Caenorhabditis elegans: one gene and its partner. The protein of the gene in region 1 interacts with the protein of each later gene in a pairwise test. Each region holds a gene or a part of one and is shown on either strand. Other genes may lie near its edges.

Region 1 (7,592 bases):
CAGCCTAACATCAACTCAGAACAAACCAGGATCCCACGCAAGTTTAAAGGAGCATGCTGGGTATCACAACGATTTTTTGAAGAGAACGAGGCCCCACGAAACGGGGAGCAGAACGAAAAGGGGATCTGCAAAAAGGGGATCTGCAAAAAGGGGATCTGCGAAAAGGGGAGATATGAAAAGGGGAGATACGAAAAGGGGAGCTGGCACTGTGCCAAACGCACAAAACGCAATTTTTCTCACGCAACGCACGTTGATTTTTGAAATTTTCTTCTAGAAGATACGCTTAACAACACGCGACGCGTAACATCGGAGCATCGTTGTATTGTTTTCTTCGAGAAAAATAGCGTTTGGCACAGTGCCAGATCTCCTTTTCGTATCTCCCCTTTTTCGTATCTCCCCTTTTCGTATCTCCCCTTTTCGCAGATCTCCTTTTTGCAGATCCCCTTTTCGTTCTGCTCCCCTTTTCGTGGGGCCTCAAGAGAACGACTTAATTGTGCATGAATTCCGGAACAGCCACCTTCAAATTGAACACTGATTAAACGAATAAAATGGTTCATTTAAAACGGAACCGAGAAAAAATGGGGACCCGTAAAATATTCACAACGAGAGGGGAAAAAGATGGAAGGGGAGGGTCAAATAATTTTCACATACCCTAAATGAAATAAATACGGTAAAATATTGGAGGAATGCGATAAAAATAAATAGAAAATGGTGAATAATGAGGGGGGCGGGGAGTAATAATCATGGTACATGAAGTGGGTAGCATATCGTCGCGGGAATCAGCAATCAGACGTTTTCCACGGCGACACGGGTGTTCGAGACTATCTGCGCAAGTTGATCAAGCTTGGCGAGGCATTCGGCTTTCTGGGCAGCACTCGGCTCGTTGGAGAGGACAATCGTCGTTTCGCGTATGATCTTTTCAGACATATCTTTCAGGTTCCGGACGTGATCGACCGCTACTCGACGATGTTCTTGCTTCTCGACCATCTCATCGTACTCTTCATCCGATTTGTCTGCCGATGGGGGCAGGAACAATTCCTCGTCTCGAATTGGGGTTGCTTCGCCGCTTCCGTCGGTTCCCATTTCTTTGACACTGAAAAATGTGAATTTTTTTTAGCAAAAAATAAATAAAATTCCTACCGATCCGCGTAGCGAAGTGTGTTGAGCGTGTGATCACTCGACGAGATCCCTGGCGAAATCATCGAGATCATCACTGTCCTGGACTTCTCACCGATGAAGCTGTCTCGGAGAACCATCGTGAGCTTCGACTGTCTGAACGGGACATGTGAGCTGTTGCGAGCCATTCCACGGATGCACTCCTTCAGTGCGAGCAGCGATGTGTTGATGTTGGCGCCCTCTTTCCGCGTGTCACGATCGCATTCTCTCGTGTCTTGTCCTCGCTCGTTTCCAGCCAAGTCGATCAACGAGAACTTGCCCCACACCTTTTTGCCTCTGAAAATAATTAATTTTAAAGCAATCTTCACGTAAAAACAAAAACTAACTGTCTAAGAATGATCTGGAATATGGCGTGAGAACGCGACGAGTTCGCGTTTGCCGAAGTGGTTCCAGCGGTTCTGACCAGAGTTCCTTTGTTGATGAGCTCCAAGACATCCTGCTCATTGTGCGCTTGCTCCTCTTTGAGCCCAACAACCTGCACCTTCTGCATCTTATCCTCAAGCACACGAAGCTCGGCCTTATCGTTGAGCAAGTCGTACGTCTTCGTTCCGTAAATCTCGAAGAACGCACAGTGCACCGAGAGATCCTTGCGACGGTACTGTGGCTGCTCGAGCATCCGGAACACATCTCGTGCCGTCAACGCGTAGATTCCCATCGACGCATTCTGCTTCTTTCCGGAGAAATCTCCACCCATTGTGTGCGTCTTTCCGGATCCTGTTTGACCGTAGGCAAAGCACGTCGCAGTTCCATTGTCGAAGACGGTTTTCACGAGTGGTGCTGCAGTGAAGCTGAAAATATCATTTTTAAAAACGAAAACTGAAAAATTAAAAAAACCAACCGATAGACCAGCTCGTTGTTGGCGTACTCGTCGAAAGAGTAATCGAATCGGAACTTCTGATTGTCCAGATACTTTGTCAAGTCGACACGTGTTTGTGGTTGATGGAGAATTGTGATGTCACGAGAAGGGATCGTGATCACATCGACCTCCGCTTTCGTCAGCTCCTTCTTGTTCAGTGGGCGCTTCCGAACGCAAACGGAAATCCGATTCTCGTTGACACCGTCGAACATGCTCAACGGACGATAGTCGATCTGGGCTCTGTAGTTGCGAATCATCTCCGCGAAAGCAAAGTTCCCATTCGACGGCTGAACATCCTGTTGTGGATACGACCGCGGTACGTTCTTCGGCGACGGAACTCTTGCCACTGGAGACGGGGCTCGCTGTGATGTCATGTTGGCGATTGGTGGAGCAGGAACAGGGGCCGGAGCTGGAGCTACCACAACTGTGCGCCTTGCAGTGTGCTTCGGAACCGTGATCGCCGTACTATCAAGATCTGGCTTGAAGGCTGCTGTCGTACGAGTAGACTTCGGTGCAGGAGCAGCATCCTCCTTCGGTGACGGAGCACGACGAGTCGGGAGAGGCTTTTCGGATGGAGGAGCCATACGAACAGGAACGTGCTGCGTGAAAGCTCCCGTTGGTCGTTTGTTGGCAGAAGCACCTGAAAATCAATTTTTGTTTCATATTAAACCAGAACTCTCCAACAAACCTTTAGCCGGAATCATGTTGATATGATCCAAGAGGAATGTATCCTCGTCATCGAGTATCATGCTCTGCGCATGGATCCCGTTTTGTCTGTTGACAGCAGTTGACGCTTGAAGCGTTTTTTGAGGAGGCTGTGGCGGCGGCGTAGGCTTCGGTGCTTGGAGTGATGGGTTCAGCGTGAGAAGTTCTTCCAACGAGGATTCCTTTCCTTTTGTCTCGCCCTGAAAATGTGAAAGATTGCAAGAGAAAAAAGAGAAGAAAGAAAGTACACAATGCCAAATGCATGATTTTTGGTTCGGCATCACATCCGAAATGCATGATTCTGTGACGAGTGATGGTCTTCTCGAAGGATGCGACTCACCTTCTCATACCATTCCACCATAAACCGGCCGTTCGACTTAACTTCGGCGATTACGGCACCGTGGATGCGGCCGTCGCTCCGCTTGATTTCCACATGCATCCCGACGACAAGCATTTTACCTGAAAATAATAACAAATTAATTGGATTCGAGTTAATTAGAGCGTAAGAATAAAGGAAACAATTGTTCATATCCCATGAAAGAAAATGATAAACTATCGGAAAACATTAGTCAGTGGCGGGGGAGATGTTATGAAATGGCGAGTACTGCCGCTGCTGCTGCTGGGAAATTGGCGCGAAAATTGCGTTCGAAGGGGGAGTAGAGGGAGGAAAACGGATGAAATAGGCGAGGGGAGTGAAGAAACGCAGACAGGCGACCGCTCGATGGACACAGCATGGACGGGTGGGTCTGGACACACAAAGGAGTGCTTCTTCCAACGGATTACGGAGCGAAACGGTCAGAAACGTGGGCTCCAGAAATGTAAAACAGACGGTTTTGGAGGAGAAAACTAGTGTATTTTGATGATATCGATCAAAATCGATGTAACAGGATAATTTTGTAAAAAAAATGGTAGAAATGTTCGCGAAAATGGATCTTTTCTGAAGCGAAAAACAGAGAAAATTTCTTGAAAAGGTCTAAAAACTAAAAAATGCGGAAACGACTACGATACAAATTTCGCTACGAGACACGAGCTCAGCAGGCACGTATGTTCCTTTAAATGAATAATCGTTTCTTGGAGAAAATTCATGTTTTTTCATTAAAAAACATGAATATTGACTTGAATTCCATGTAAAAATCAGAAAACGACTACGATACAATTATTCTTTTTCTAGATTTTTTCGAGTTTCAAAGCAAAATGTTCAGATTATAATAATTATTTGCCATTAATCAAAAAGAAATTGTGACAAAATAAGAAAAATTAACTTAAAACAAAAAAAACTGGCCAAAAACCGGCTGAGTCAACCCGAAAACCACCTAAAATGATAGCGAAGGAAAAACAAAATGAGAGAAACTTCGCGAAACAAAAATATGAATTCGTGCGCGCCCGCCTGAGATCGTAGGTCAATTGTAGGTCAAAACATATCAGAGGCAATTAGACAAGTCTAGAAAAATTCAATTTTTGATTTCTCGCCTTTGCAAAGCTTTGTCAAAGCTTTGCATAATTTTCTATAATTTTAGACACTATTTATTAAATTTTTCCTTCAAATTCAACGATTTAAGCCGAGTTTTCGATTTGAAACCTACTTTTCCCTAATAAAAATTATCGAATTTCTCGAGAACAAATGTTCAAACGACTGAAACTAAAGAAGACTCGCCGGAATGCGGCAATAAAATGAGGGACACGAAGAATTGGAAGTGGGGGCTCGGTTCCCGAAGAGCTCGTGTTTCGCAATCGGGAATAGTTGGGGGGGGGGGGGGGGGGACCGAGAGAGCCGGAAGACGTGGAGGAGGGAAAGAAAATGCAGTGCTTCTAAATAGGACACATACACATGAAAAGCTCACAAAGAAAGACAGACAGAGAGACATTGCTCTATGGTTATGAGCTCTTTCTTGCTTTTTTTGGGTGTGGTGCAAAAAGACGGAGCAAAAAAGGATTATGATGGGTAACCTTTGCACATAAACACTTGGGAAACGTACGATACCAGGTCTCGACACGAAAAATTTTGGTTGAATGCAAAATTGTGTATGCGCCTTTAAATAGTAACTCTAACTGCAAAGCGGAATTTTCAGTTTTCATTTACTTTTCAAGAACATTTTTTGACGAAAAACTATTACTAAAACTATTACTACAACACAGAATTATGATAATGCGTCTCACACAACATATTTGACGCGCAAAATATCTTGTAACGAAAGCTACAGTAACTTTATAAATGACTACTGTAGTCGATTTACGGGCTCGGATGGATTAAAATTTTACTTTACTATCGCTAAAATATTAAAATAAAAATAAAAATGAGAAAATTATGCGAAGAAACGAATGAAAATGGAAAAAAAAGAATTAGAATTACTGTAGTTTTCGCTAACTTAAGAGATATTTTGTGCGTCAAATATGTTGCACAAGACGCTATTTTTTTTAAACAAAATAAAACACATTTAAAAATTGCGGAAACGGGAGACAATCCATGAATAATCGATGAAAATCGTGGTGGAAGTTAGGAAGTTACAGTACTCTTCAAAGGCGCACGCCTTTTTGCATATTACAAAAATTGTCGCGTCGGGATCGTATTTTCGAGTTCAAAAAAACGAAAAAGTTTGACATCTGAGTAATAACTGAAACTGGCTGAAAGTTCATGAAATGCGACAAAAAGAAATATAAGCCTCTCAGCTTATTTCCGAAAAAGTCGAGATGACTCACTTACCGGTCACATTATACCAAGGAAATGATATTTCCTCCCCTGAATCACTGTCCGGTGGACCGATTCCATGCTTTTCGACTTCTGATTTGGCCTTCGGAGCCCGTCGCCACGGCTTCTCGGCTCGTTTTCTCTGCACTTCAGGATTTTCCTTACAACTTCTGCAACTTTTCATCGGGATCGAATTGGAAATAATATTTTTTTCATTATTTTTTGTCCGAACGGAAAATAAACAATGCCACGTGACAATGCGAAATTTATGATGCCACGGGTTTTTTCTTTTTTCTTTTTATTTTTTATCCATTTTGGCTTAAAAAATCCACAACAAAAAACAAGAAAAATTCAATTAAAAAACACGGAGAAATGCGACCAATCAACGATGGAGTGGGAAATAAAAAAGAATGACTCCATATGATTTTCCAGGACTTTTGAATTTTTGAAAAAATCAGCTTTTATATATTTTTATCAATTAAAAAAAATACTTTTTTTTTGGGTTTTTCTTTTTTCTTTTTATTTTTTATCCATTTTGGCTTAAAAAATCCACAAAAAAACAAGAAAAATTCAATTAAAAAACACGGAGAAATGCGACCAATCAACGATGGAGTGTACGGAGTTCGAAGTCGCTGATTGGTCGCAGTTCTCATTTGAGAATTCCCTCCAGATAAAATGAGAACTGCAAGACCAATCAGCGATTCACTCCGCCTACTTTCCACCCAATCAGCATTCTTTAACTCCGCCCATTCCGTCTGATTGGTTGAGATTTGGGCGTAACGAATCGCTGATTGGTAGTTCTTTTTTGGAAGGATTTTATCGATTTTATCGTTTTTTTAATGATTCTTTTTGAATTTCAGACGTTTTTTTTTGAATTTTTTGAAGCAAAAACTATTCCACATTGAAAGGCAAAAGAAAAAAATACAATTCGCGCGCCGAGACCTTACTTTTAATTTTATTTTCCAGCAAAGAAAGAAATCAAAATATCTATATGTAACGCCCTTTTTCAGAGTTACAAAGTCTGTAATAAACATACCATAAAAATGAAAAATCAGCATCATTTTTTTGTCACATTGCATTTTTAACCTTTTCCACTGGCCGGCGGCGGCGTCCCATTAAAGAAAGTGATCCCTTATCACTTTTCTTGCTGATTATGAGACCAAAGTTTCCCCCCATGTTCTGGAATTTTTTTTTTAGGTTTCCGGCAATTTTTTCGTTTGAAATTCTACCATTTACAATTTAAATCTGTTTAATCCGATTGACTTATGTTTGCCGGTGGCGGTTTGTGTGTGTGTAATTCCCATCAAAAAATAAAAAACTTCGCTCCACACATTTTTACAGTGATGATTTTCGAATTTTTAAAAGAGTACTTGCAGAATTTGAAATAAATTTGTCTCTTTCGATCTGAATATATTACATTAGAACACAAAATTCTAATAATGCGTATTGCACAACATATTTGACGCGCAAAATATCTCGTAGCGAAAACTACAGTAATTCTTTAGATGACTACTGTAGCTCGATTTACGGGCTTGATTTTTAAAATGAATTTCTTCGTTTCGTCGTATAACTTTTTTCTTTTTTTTTGCTTAACTTTAATATTCTATAGATGAACAAATGATTTATGCAATTAATTTCAAAAATTGACCCCGTAAATCGACACTACAGTAGTCATTTAAAGAATTACTGTAGTTTTCGCTACGAGATATAGTTATAATTTATTTTGCTCGTCAAATATGTTGCCCAATACGCATTCTCAGAATATTATGCTCCCGTAATAAGGTTGCACCACCCCTAAACGCTGGGTCTCGTTAGGAATTGGACGGCAAAATTTTAGCCCGTTTTCAAAGAATTTTTCGTACTTTTTGAAAATTTTACCCATTGTTTTCAACTATTTTTTTCCTAAAAAAACATTTTAAAATATGTATTAAAATATGTATTCAGTTGGATTATTAGAAATTTCGATATGAAAATTAGTAGAAACAACAAAATACTACAAAATATATTAAAAACAGTGAGGTTTTTGCGATTTTTTGAAAGACCTGCAAACTTGCAAAAAGAGCATCCCCCTTAAAAATCCAAACTAATAAATAAGCACCCTAACGCCTAGTTTTTAGTTTATTTGGAGAGCCTATTCAACGCTTATCACCACACATTTTATTGCCCATC
Region 2 (7,840 bases), on another chromosome or scaffold:
GCAATTTTGAACCGAGAAAAAGTTGAAAATTTGCCTATTTTACACTGAAAACTCTAAAAAAGATTCAATTTTCTTTCAGTTTTCCCGAATTTCTGCTCTAAAAACTAAAAATTATCGATTTTTGCAGTATAACATCTAGAAAATCAACAATTTGACAATTTTAAACTGAAAAAAAGTAAAAATTCGGCCTTTTTTATTTGAAAACTCAAAAAAATCTTATTTATTCCTCTAAAAACCAAAAATTATTGATTTTTGCTATAAAACACTCGGAAAATCAACAATTTGACAATTTTTAATAGAGAAAAAATTAAAAATTTGCTTATTTTACACTGAAAACTCTAAAAAAGAATATGTTTTCTTTCAGTTTTCCCGAATTTCTGCTCTAAAAACTAAAAATTATCGATTTTTGTAAAAAAATCTCAATTTGACAGTAAAAACTCATATTTCACACTGAAAACTCCAAAAAAACTCAATTTTCTTTCAGTTTTCCCTTACAAAAAGCACAATTTGGGTTGTATCTACAACGTCATTGATCGCCTTCCTTCCATACATTATCGAAAAGGAACGAAGTGATTTGGAAAAGACTCAAGTGGCTCAGCAACGTCAAATGCTTCTCGGACCATCTGCGGCCATTCAACAAGCCAAAACTGCTTGAAAAACTTGATTTTCTCGCCGAAAATCCCCCTTAAAACCGTCTGAAATTGATCTTTTCCTAGATTTTCCCCTGTTTTTCGTCTTCTGATAGCTTTTTTTGCGATAGAATTCATTATCATATAAATTGTTGATTTTCTAACATTTTTCAAGGATTTTTCTAGCACAATATCCCGGTTTTTTCATCCAAAACTTGTATTTTTATCGATTTTTTTGACGTTTTTCACTTTTTCCAGGTAAAAATCCGAATTTTAAGCTTTAAAAAGCCTTAAAAAACACAAAAATTGCAAATTTTCGCGCTGAAAGTCGCATAAAATTGAATTTTTATAATTTCTGTTCGAAAAATCTTCAATTTTTCGCTGAAAAATTTTTTCCCTGGCAAAAATTCAAATTTTGGGTCTGCTAGGCTACAAACTACAAATTTCGATTTAGCAGACCCGATTTAGAAGAAAAAACGAAGAGTTTTCAGTCTAAAAAGCTTGAAAAATAGCCTTAAAACTTGATTTTTTCGCTTTTTTATTGAAAAAAAACAAAATTTATCATTTTTATCCCAGAAAATCGCTGAAAACCCCGAATTTCGCCTATTTTCTTCGTTTTCACCCAATTTTCTTCAAATTTTCGCAATTTTCAGCTCATTTCCATTATCTAAATTTTTTGCAGCACTGTATTCGGGTTATTTCATCCAAAATGCGTATTTTTATCTTTTTTTCTTGTAGTTTTTCACTTTTTTTCAGGCAAAAATATATGAGACATCGAATTTTAAGCTTTAAAAATGCTTAAAAACACAAAAATCGTCAATTTTTGCACTAAAAGTCCCAAAAACTTCAATTTTTCTAATTTTTATTCGAAAAATGTTCAATTTCTCGCTGAAAAATTGCTTTAAAAAAATTTAATTCTGAAAATTTTTGGTCTGCTAGACTACAAACTACAAATTTCGATTTAGCAGACCAATGTGATTTTTAAGAAGAAATTACGAGTTTTCACTTCGAAAAGCTTGAAAAATGGTCTTGAAACTTGATTTTTCCTGTTTTTTAATCTAAAAAATTAAAAATTTAGCATTTTCAGCTCGGAAAATCGCTGAAAACCCCGAATTTTTGCTATTTTTCCTTGTTTTCACCTTATTTTCTTCAAATTTTCGCAATTTTCAGCCCGTGTCCACCGTCTAAAAGCTCCCAAAATGGATCCAAAACCCATAAACGAAGGAATGTTACTGGAGGATCATGATCATGGAATGCCTGAAGAAGAAGAAATAACAGAAGATGATATGAATGGAATTCATAATATAGAAGAGGATACACGAACAATTAGTGAAATAGCAATGGAGCTTCATCATCCGAATAAAAGTCAAGTTTTACTTGATCAGGAACGATTTTTGCCAATTGGTATGGGAAAACATGCGGAAATTTTGATGAAAATCGATAAATTCCCGGAATTTTACACGAAAAATTGAAATTTCTTGAAAAATCTAGACTGAAAAGTGAAAAAATTCATAAATTTCCGATAAAAACCGCCATTTTTTCTAAAATTGCCCTTTAAAATGAAAAAATATCACATGGGTCTGCTAAATCGAAAATTGTAGTTTGTAGTCTAGCAGACCAATTTTGTTCAAAATCACTTTGGTCTGCTAAATCGAATTTTGTAGTTTGTAGTCTAGCAGACCAAACTTCTTCAATATCTATTGGTCTGCTAAATCTAAACTTGTAGTTTGTAGTCTAGCAGACCAATTTTGTTCAGAACAACAATGGTCTGCTAAATCGAATATTGTAGTTTGTAGTCTAGCAGACCAATTTTTTACAATTTTTTTTTCAAAAACATAAATTTTCGACAAAAATCGATTTTTTTTGTAATTTTTTTTTCAAGAATTGAAAGTTTCTCTGCAAAAAGGCATCAAGCTCGAGATTTTTCAATTTTTTTAAAACAAAAATCGTTGAAAATTCTCCAAAAATCCCAATTTTTTCAGCTAACGTGGTCCGAATCATGAAAACTCAAATGGATCCGCAGGCGAAATTGGCAAAAGACGCAAAGGAGTGTGCTCAAGAGTGTGTTTCAGAGTTTATAAGCTTTATCGCTTCGGAAGCCGCTGAAATATGCAATATTACGAAGCGGAAGACTATTACTGCAGGTAAAACCGGGAAACTCCGTCTAAAATTACCCGCAAATCGTCCAAAAACTACAATTTTCGCATGGAAAACCTTTTTAAAAACTCAAAAACAGCCCAAAAGCCCAAAAAACCCTAAAAACCGCAATTTTCAATATAAAAAAATTTCCAGACGACCTGCTCACCGCGATGGAAGCCACAGGATTCGACAATTACGCGGAGCCAATGCGAATTTTCCTTCAAAAGTACCGTCAGGCTCACAAGATCACTGGACCAATTCACAGAACACACCCAGACTACGTACGGCCTCCACAATTTCAAATGGATCCTTTTGTTCGGCCATTATTCTTCGATACGGAGCAAGGACGCAGATGTTCGTGTGTGAAAATCGGAAAATTTTGCCTGAAAATAGATTAAATTGATGGAAAAATAGAAAAAAAAACTGGAAATTTGACTGGAAATGGATTAAATTTATGGAAAAAATAGTAAAAAACTAGAAATTTCACAGAAAATAGACTAAATTAGTGGAAAAAAATAGAAAAAACGAAATTTGACAGAAAATAGACTAAATTTATGGAAAAAATAGTAAAAAACTAGAAATTTGACAGAAAATAGACTAAATTTATGGAAAAAAATAGAAAAAACGAAATTTGACAGAAAATAGACTAAATTTATGGAAAAAATAATAAAAAACTAGAAATTTCACAGAAAATAGACTAAATTTATGGAAAAAATAATAAAAAACTAGAAATTTCACAGAAAATAGACTAAATTTATGGAAAAAATAGAAAAAACCGGAAACTTGAAATTTAGACTAAGAATTGTTTTTTTTTCAAAGATTGAAGTACTGAGAATGATGATTTTTCATTTAAAAAAATTGTCAAAACTCTGAATTTTTTGCTGAAAAATATTCAGAAGCCGAAATAATAGTAAAAAAACGGTGAAAATTGCATTTTTTCCACATAAATCTCAAAAATTCATTTTTCAGTTTTTTTCAACTACAGTATCCTTTGAAGTCATAGAAAAAATTACAAGATTCGCAGAAAACTCGAAAAAATCATAATTTTAACGCTAAAAACTTAAAATTCAGAATTTTTGGCTTTTAATTTCGGCTTCTGAGTATTTTTCAGCAAAAAATTTAGAGTTTTGACACATTTTTAATGAAAATTATCATTCTCAGTGCTTCAAGCTTTGAAAAATTAATGGGAAGAATAGTAAAAACCTGAACAAAAATGGTTTTCTCTGGAAAAATTCCTAAAAATTTTTTTCAGAGCTTGAAGCACTGAGAATGATGATTTTCCTTTAAAAATTTGTCAAAATTCTAAATTTTTTGCTGAAAGTTGCACAAATTCTTAATTTTGAATTTTTAGCGTTAAATATATGATTTTTTCGAGTTTTCTACGAATCTTGCAACTTGTTCTATGACTTTCAAGGATACTATAGTTAAAAAAAAACTAATAATGCATTTTTAAGATTTATATGGAAAAATTGCAATTCTCACCGTTTTTTTCCCAAAATTTTGAATTTTTCGCGAAACTCAGCAGCTTTGCATAGTAGTTTCAAGCGACTTTTTTTCGGAAAAATACCGAAACTTGCTCTGAAAATGCCATATAACTCCTATAAGGATTACTGTAGTTTCTCTACAAAAATAAATTTCTGTGACTCATGTCCTTCTATCCAAATTGATGGCTGGAATATCGGTATTCTCGGCTGAAACATGCAATAAATACCGTATTCCAACCAACAATTTGTGCAATAGAGCACATTTGTCACCGGAGATGCGGAAGCTATGCCCAAATTTTCAATTTTTCTAGGAAAATGATGAAAAAAATTGCAATTTTCCAGGTACCGAGACTCAATACGTGATAAATGGCAGTGAAATTGTGAAAAATGCTCCATTGGGAGAAGAATGGAATGAGCAAACTGGTACATTGAATACCCGCGCAGATGGATATTATATGGAGGTGAAAATTGGATTTTCTGGATGGAAAACTGTGGAAAAATGGATTTTTCCACTAAAAACCTGAATTTTTAACTCAAAAATTGATTTTTTTAACTCAAAAATTGAATTTTTAATTCAAAAATTGAATTTTTAATTCAAAAATTGAATTTTTAACTCAAAAATTGAATTTTTAATTCAAAAATTGAATTTTTAACTCAAAAATTGAATTTTTAACTCAAAAATTGATTTTTTAACTCAAAAATTGATTTTTTAACTCAAAAAATTCGATTTTTCAGGAGCCAATGGAGCCGATGCCGATGGAAGAAGTAGAAATTGAAGAACACGAGGAAATTATTGAGCAAGATTCACTTGGAGCCATCGCCTTGGAGCAACAAGGCCAAATGCAGATTTATGTGGATCCAAAGACGAAACAACATTTTGCAGCGAAAGAAAGTACGGAATTTTTTATGAAATTCTGAATTTTCCAGCGTGAAAATTGGAAAAATTGAGAAAAATCGATTTTTTTTTGTGAAAATTCCGGAAAAATCGAAGTTTCGCCGATTTTGTGGCGTTTCCAGAAAATTTCTCATTTTTTTCCTTAAAAATTAGAAAAATTAGATTTTTACAGCACAAAAAAAACAGAAAATTGAAATTTTCTTGATTTCCAGCTCAAAAATTGGAAAAAATGGTTTAAAACCGATTTTGAACGGAAAAAATCTAGGAAAATCGATTTTTTTTTTGGTGAAAACTTCAGAAAAAATCGAAATTTCGTCAACTTTTGTGGATTTTACTGAAAATTCCCTATGTTTGCCGTAAAGATTAGAAAAAATTGGTCCAGATTTGATTTTTACAGCAGAAAACTAGAAAATTCAAATTTTTTTTGATTTTTAGCATAAAAACTCGAAAAAATTGGTTTTAATTTGATTTTCTACCTGAAAAATCCGAGAAAATCGATATTTTCCCGATTTTTATATTAAAATTTGTGAAAATTGACATTTTCTCGATTTTTCTGAAAACAATTGTGAATTTTCTCGATTTTCTGTCAAATATCTAAGAAAATGTTTTTAAATAATTCCGGAAAAGCAAATTTCAGCTCCGAATGGCATGGAACTCTACCCTCTGATCATCCAGGACACCCCACTGCAATTGGAAAATGTTTCTGGGCCAAATGTACGATTTCCAGCACTTTTCACAGCGAATTTCAGATTTTTAGTGCGAAATTCGAATTCAGCGCCTCAATTTACCCCCAGAACCCTGTTTCCCCGTCTTCTAGCTCAACATTTTGAATATTTCGGGTTACTGTAGCCCCAAGAGTACGCAAACACCGACTACTGTAACCCAAAGCACCAGATTTTACGGCATTGGCGAATTTCGAGCTGAAAATTGATTTGACGGGGTAAATTGGAGTGCTGAATTCAAAAATCGTATTTAAAATTTCAGAAAATTTGATTTGAAAATCGGAAATTTTGAAATTTTCAGACAAATTTTTTTTTGGGCAAAAACCTTGTAATTTTGAAATTTTAATGCGAAATTCGAATTCAGCGCCAAAAATTACCTTCATTTTCCTTTTCCCCGTGCTTCTAGCTCAAAGTTTGAATATTTTGGGTTACTGTAGCCCCAAGAGTACGCAAATACCGACTACAGTACCCCAAAACACCAGATTTTACGAAATTTGCGAATGTTGAGCTGAAAATTGATTTCCCGGGGTAAAATTGGAGTGCTGAATTCGAAAATCGTATTGAAAATTTCAGAAATTTTGATTAAAAAATTTTTTTTGTTCGAAATTTAATATTTTTTCAGCAATTCGTTATGAATATGCCAGATGGACGAGCAATACCCCACGGAATGGGACAAGAAGAGCCTCAGCCAGTGTCAAGTAGCTCAGTTATGCGGAAAATCGGTAAAATATTGCATTTTTTAGTGATTTTCTGTTCAAAAATGCTGAAAAATGGAGATTTTACTGGTTTTAATGGGAAAAAATCAAGTTTTTAGCATTTTTGAGCCATTTTAATCGGGAAAAAAGTGATTTTGAAGCATTTTAACCCCAATTTTCCAGTTTTATAAAATGAATTTTCCGATTAAATAAGTGTTTTCATGTATTTTCAGCTAATTTTTAGTCTTTTTTAATCGAAAAAACTGATTTTCAGCCAATTTTTCTTTTAAAAAAAGTGATTTTAGGCATTTTTGGCCTATTTTTACCTATTTTGCATATGTTTTTTTCAGAAAAATGAAATTTTTGCACATTTTCAGTCAATTTTCCCGATTTTCAGGTCAAAATCCGTCTTCCTATGCCCAGCAGCACCACCACGTCAGCCACGTGGAACAACACGATGACGTGGAATATGAAGAAGAAGAAGAAGTAGATCAAGTAGAGGAGGATACAGTACCCGTTCCAATCGCGCCGAGACCCGCAGCCACCCGAGTTCAGCCGAAACGAACGCCGACGAAGAGGAAAAAGTAGAGAAAATTGCAAAAAATGATAATTTCTCGATTTTTATTGTATTTTTCGCATTTTTTCACCCTGAAATCCCAACTTTTTGAGGAATTTTTAAAATTTTGCACTGAAAATCACCATTTTTACCGAATTTTTTATTGGATTTTTTCTCATTTTCCCTCAAAACTGAATCTGAAAACTGCAATTTTTGCAAAAATTCAATTTTCCAAAATTTTCCATTTTTCATTGATCTCCATCGTATCCATTTCCTTGACAACTTAACATATACAATTGTAATTATTTTTGAAATATTTATTCATTTATTTATTTATATCTCTAATTTATTGCAAAAAAATAAATTCAATTATACCCCAATGCCTCAGTTTTCACTTAACCACCAAAAAAATTCGTTTCAAATCGATTTTTCAATTTTTCCACACTTTTCCCATTGAATTTCAAATTTTCAATGCGAAATTCGAATTCAGCGCCTCAAATTACCCCTATTTCCTTTTTCTCCCGGCTTCCAGCTCTAATTTTAAGAAAATTGGGGTACTGTAGCTCCAGGAGTACGCAAACACTGACTACAGTACCCCAAAACGCCTGATTTTACGACACTTGCGAATTTTGAGCTGAAAATTGATTTGACGGAGTAAAATGGGGTGCTGAATTCTAAAATCGTATTAAAAATTTCTGAAAATTTTTATTTGAAAATCTG

Evidence for each region.
Region 2: the proteins of klp-7 (region 1) and nfyb-1 interact in a two-hybrid assay, tested with the Caenorhabditis elegans proteins (2 studies listed by BioGRID).

Annotation. Positions count from the first base shown.
Region 1 is NC_003281.10:10,803,945-10,811,536, reverse strand, and holds klp-7 (Kinesin-like protein), read right to left. Parts: upstream 5,613-7,592; 5' UTR 5,608-5,612; coding exon 5,439-5,607; intron 4,056-5,438; exon of another isoform or gene 4,035-4,055; intron 3,500-4,034; exon of another isoform or gene 3,355-3,499; intron 3,197-3,354; coding exon 3,078-3,196; intron 2,938-3,077; coding exon 2,721-2,937; intron 2,673-2,720; coding exon 2,015-2,672; intron 1,965-2,014; coding exon 1,503-1,964; intron 1,453-1,502; coding exon 1,141-1,452; intron 1,094-1,140; coding exon 787-1,093; 3' UTR 538-786; downstream 1-537.
Region 2 is NC_003280.10:461,325-469,164, reverse strand, and holds nfyb-1 (Nuclear transcription factor Y subunit nfyb-1), read left to right. Parts: upstream 1-1,799; 5' UTR 1,800-1,828; coding exon 1,829-2,033; intron 2,034-2,259; exon of another isoform or gene 2,260-2,316; intron 2,317-2,611; coding exon 2,612-2,773; intron 2,774-2,921; coding exon 2,922-3,122; intron 3,123-4,594; coding exon 4,595-4,713; intron 4,714-4,987; coding exon 4,988-5,144; intron 5,145-5,784; coding exon 5,785-5,861; intron 5,862-6,491; coding exon 6,492-6,591; intron 6,592-6,961; coding exon 6,962-7,152; 3' UTR 7,153-7,498; downstream 7,499-7,840. Other genes in the region: tomm-22 (Mitochondrial import receptor subunit TOM22 homolog), read left to right, coding at 485-655.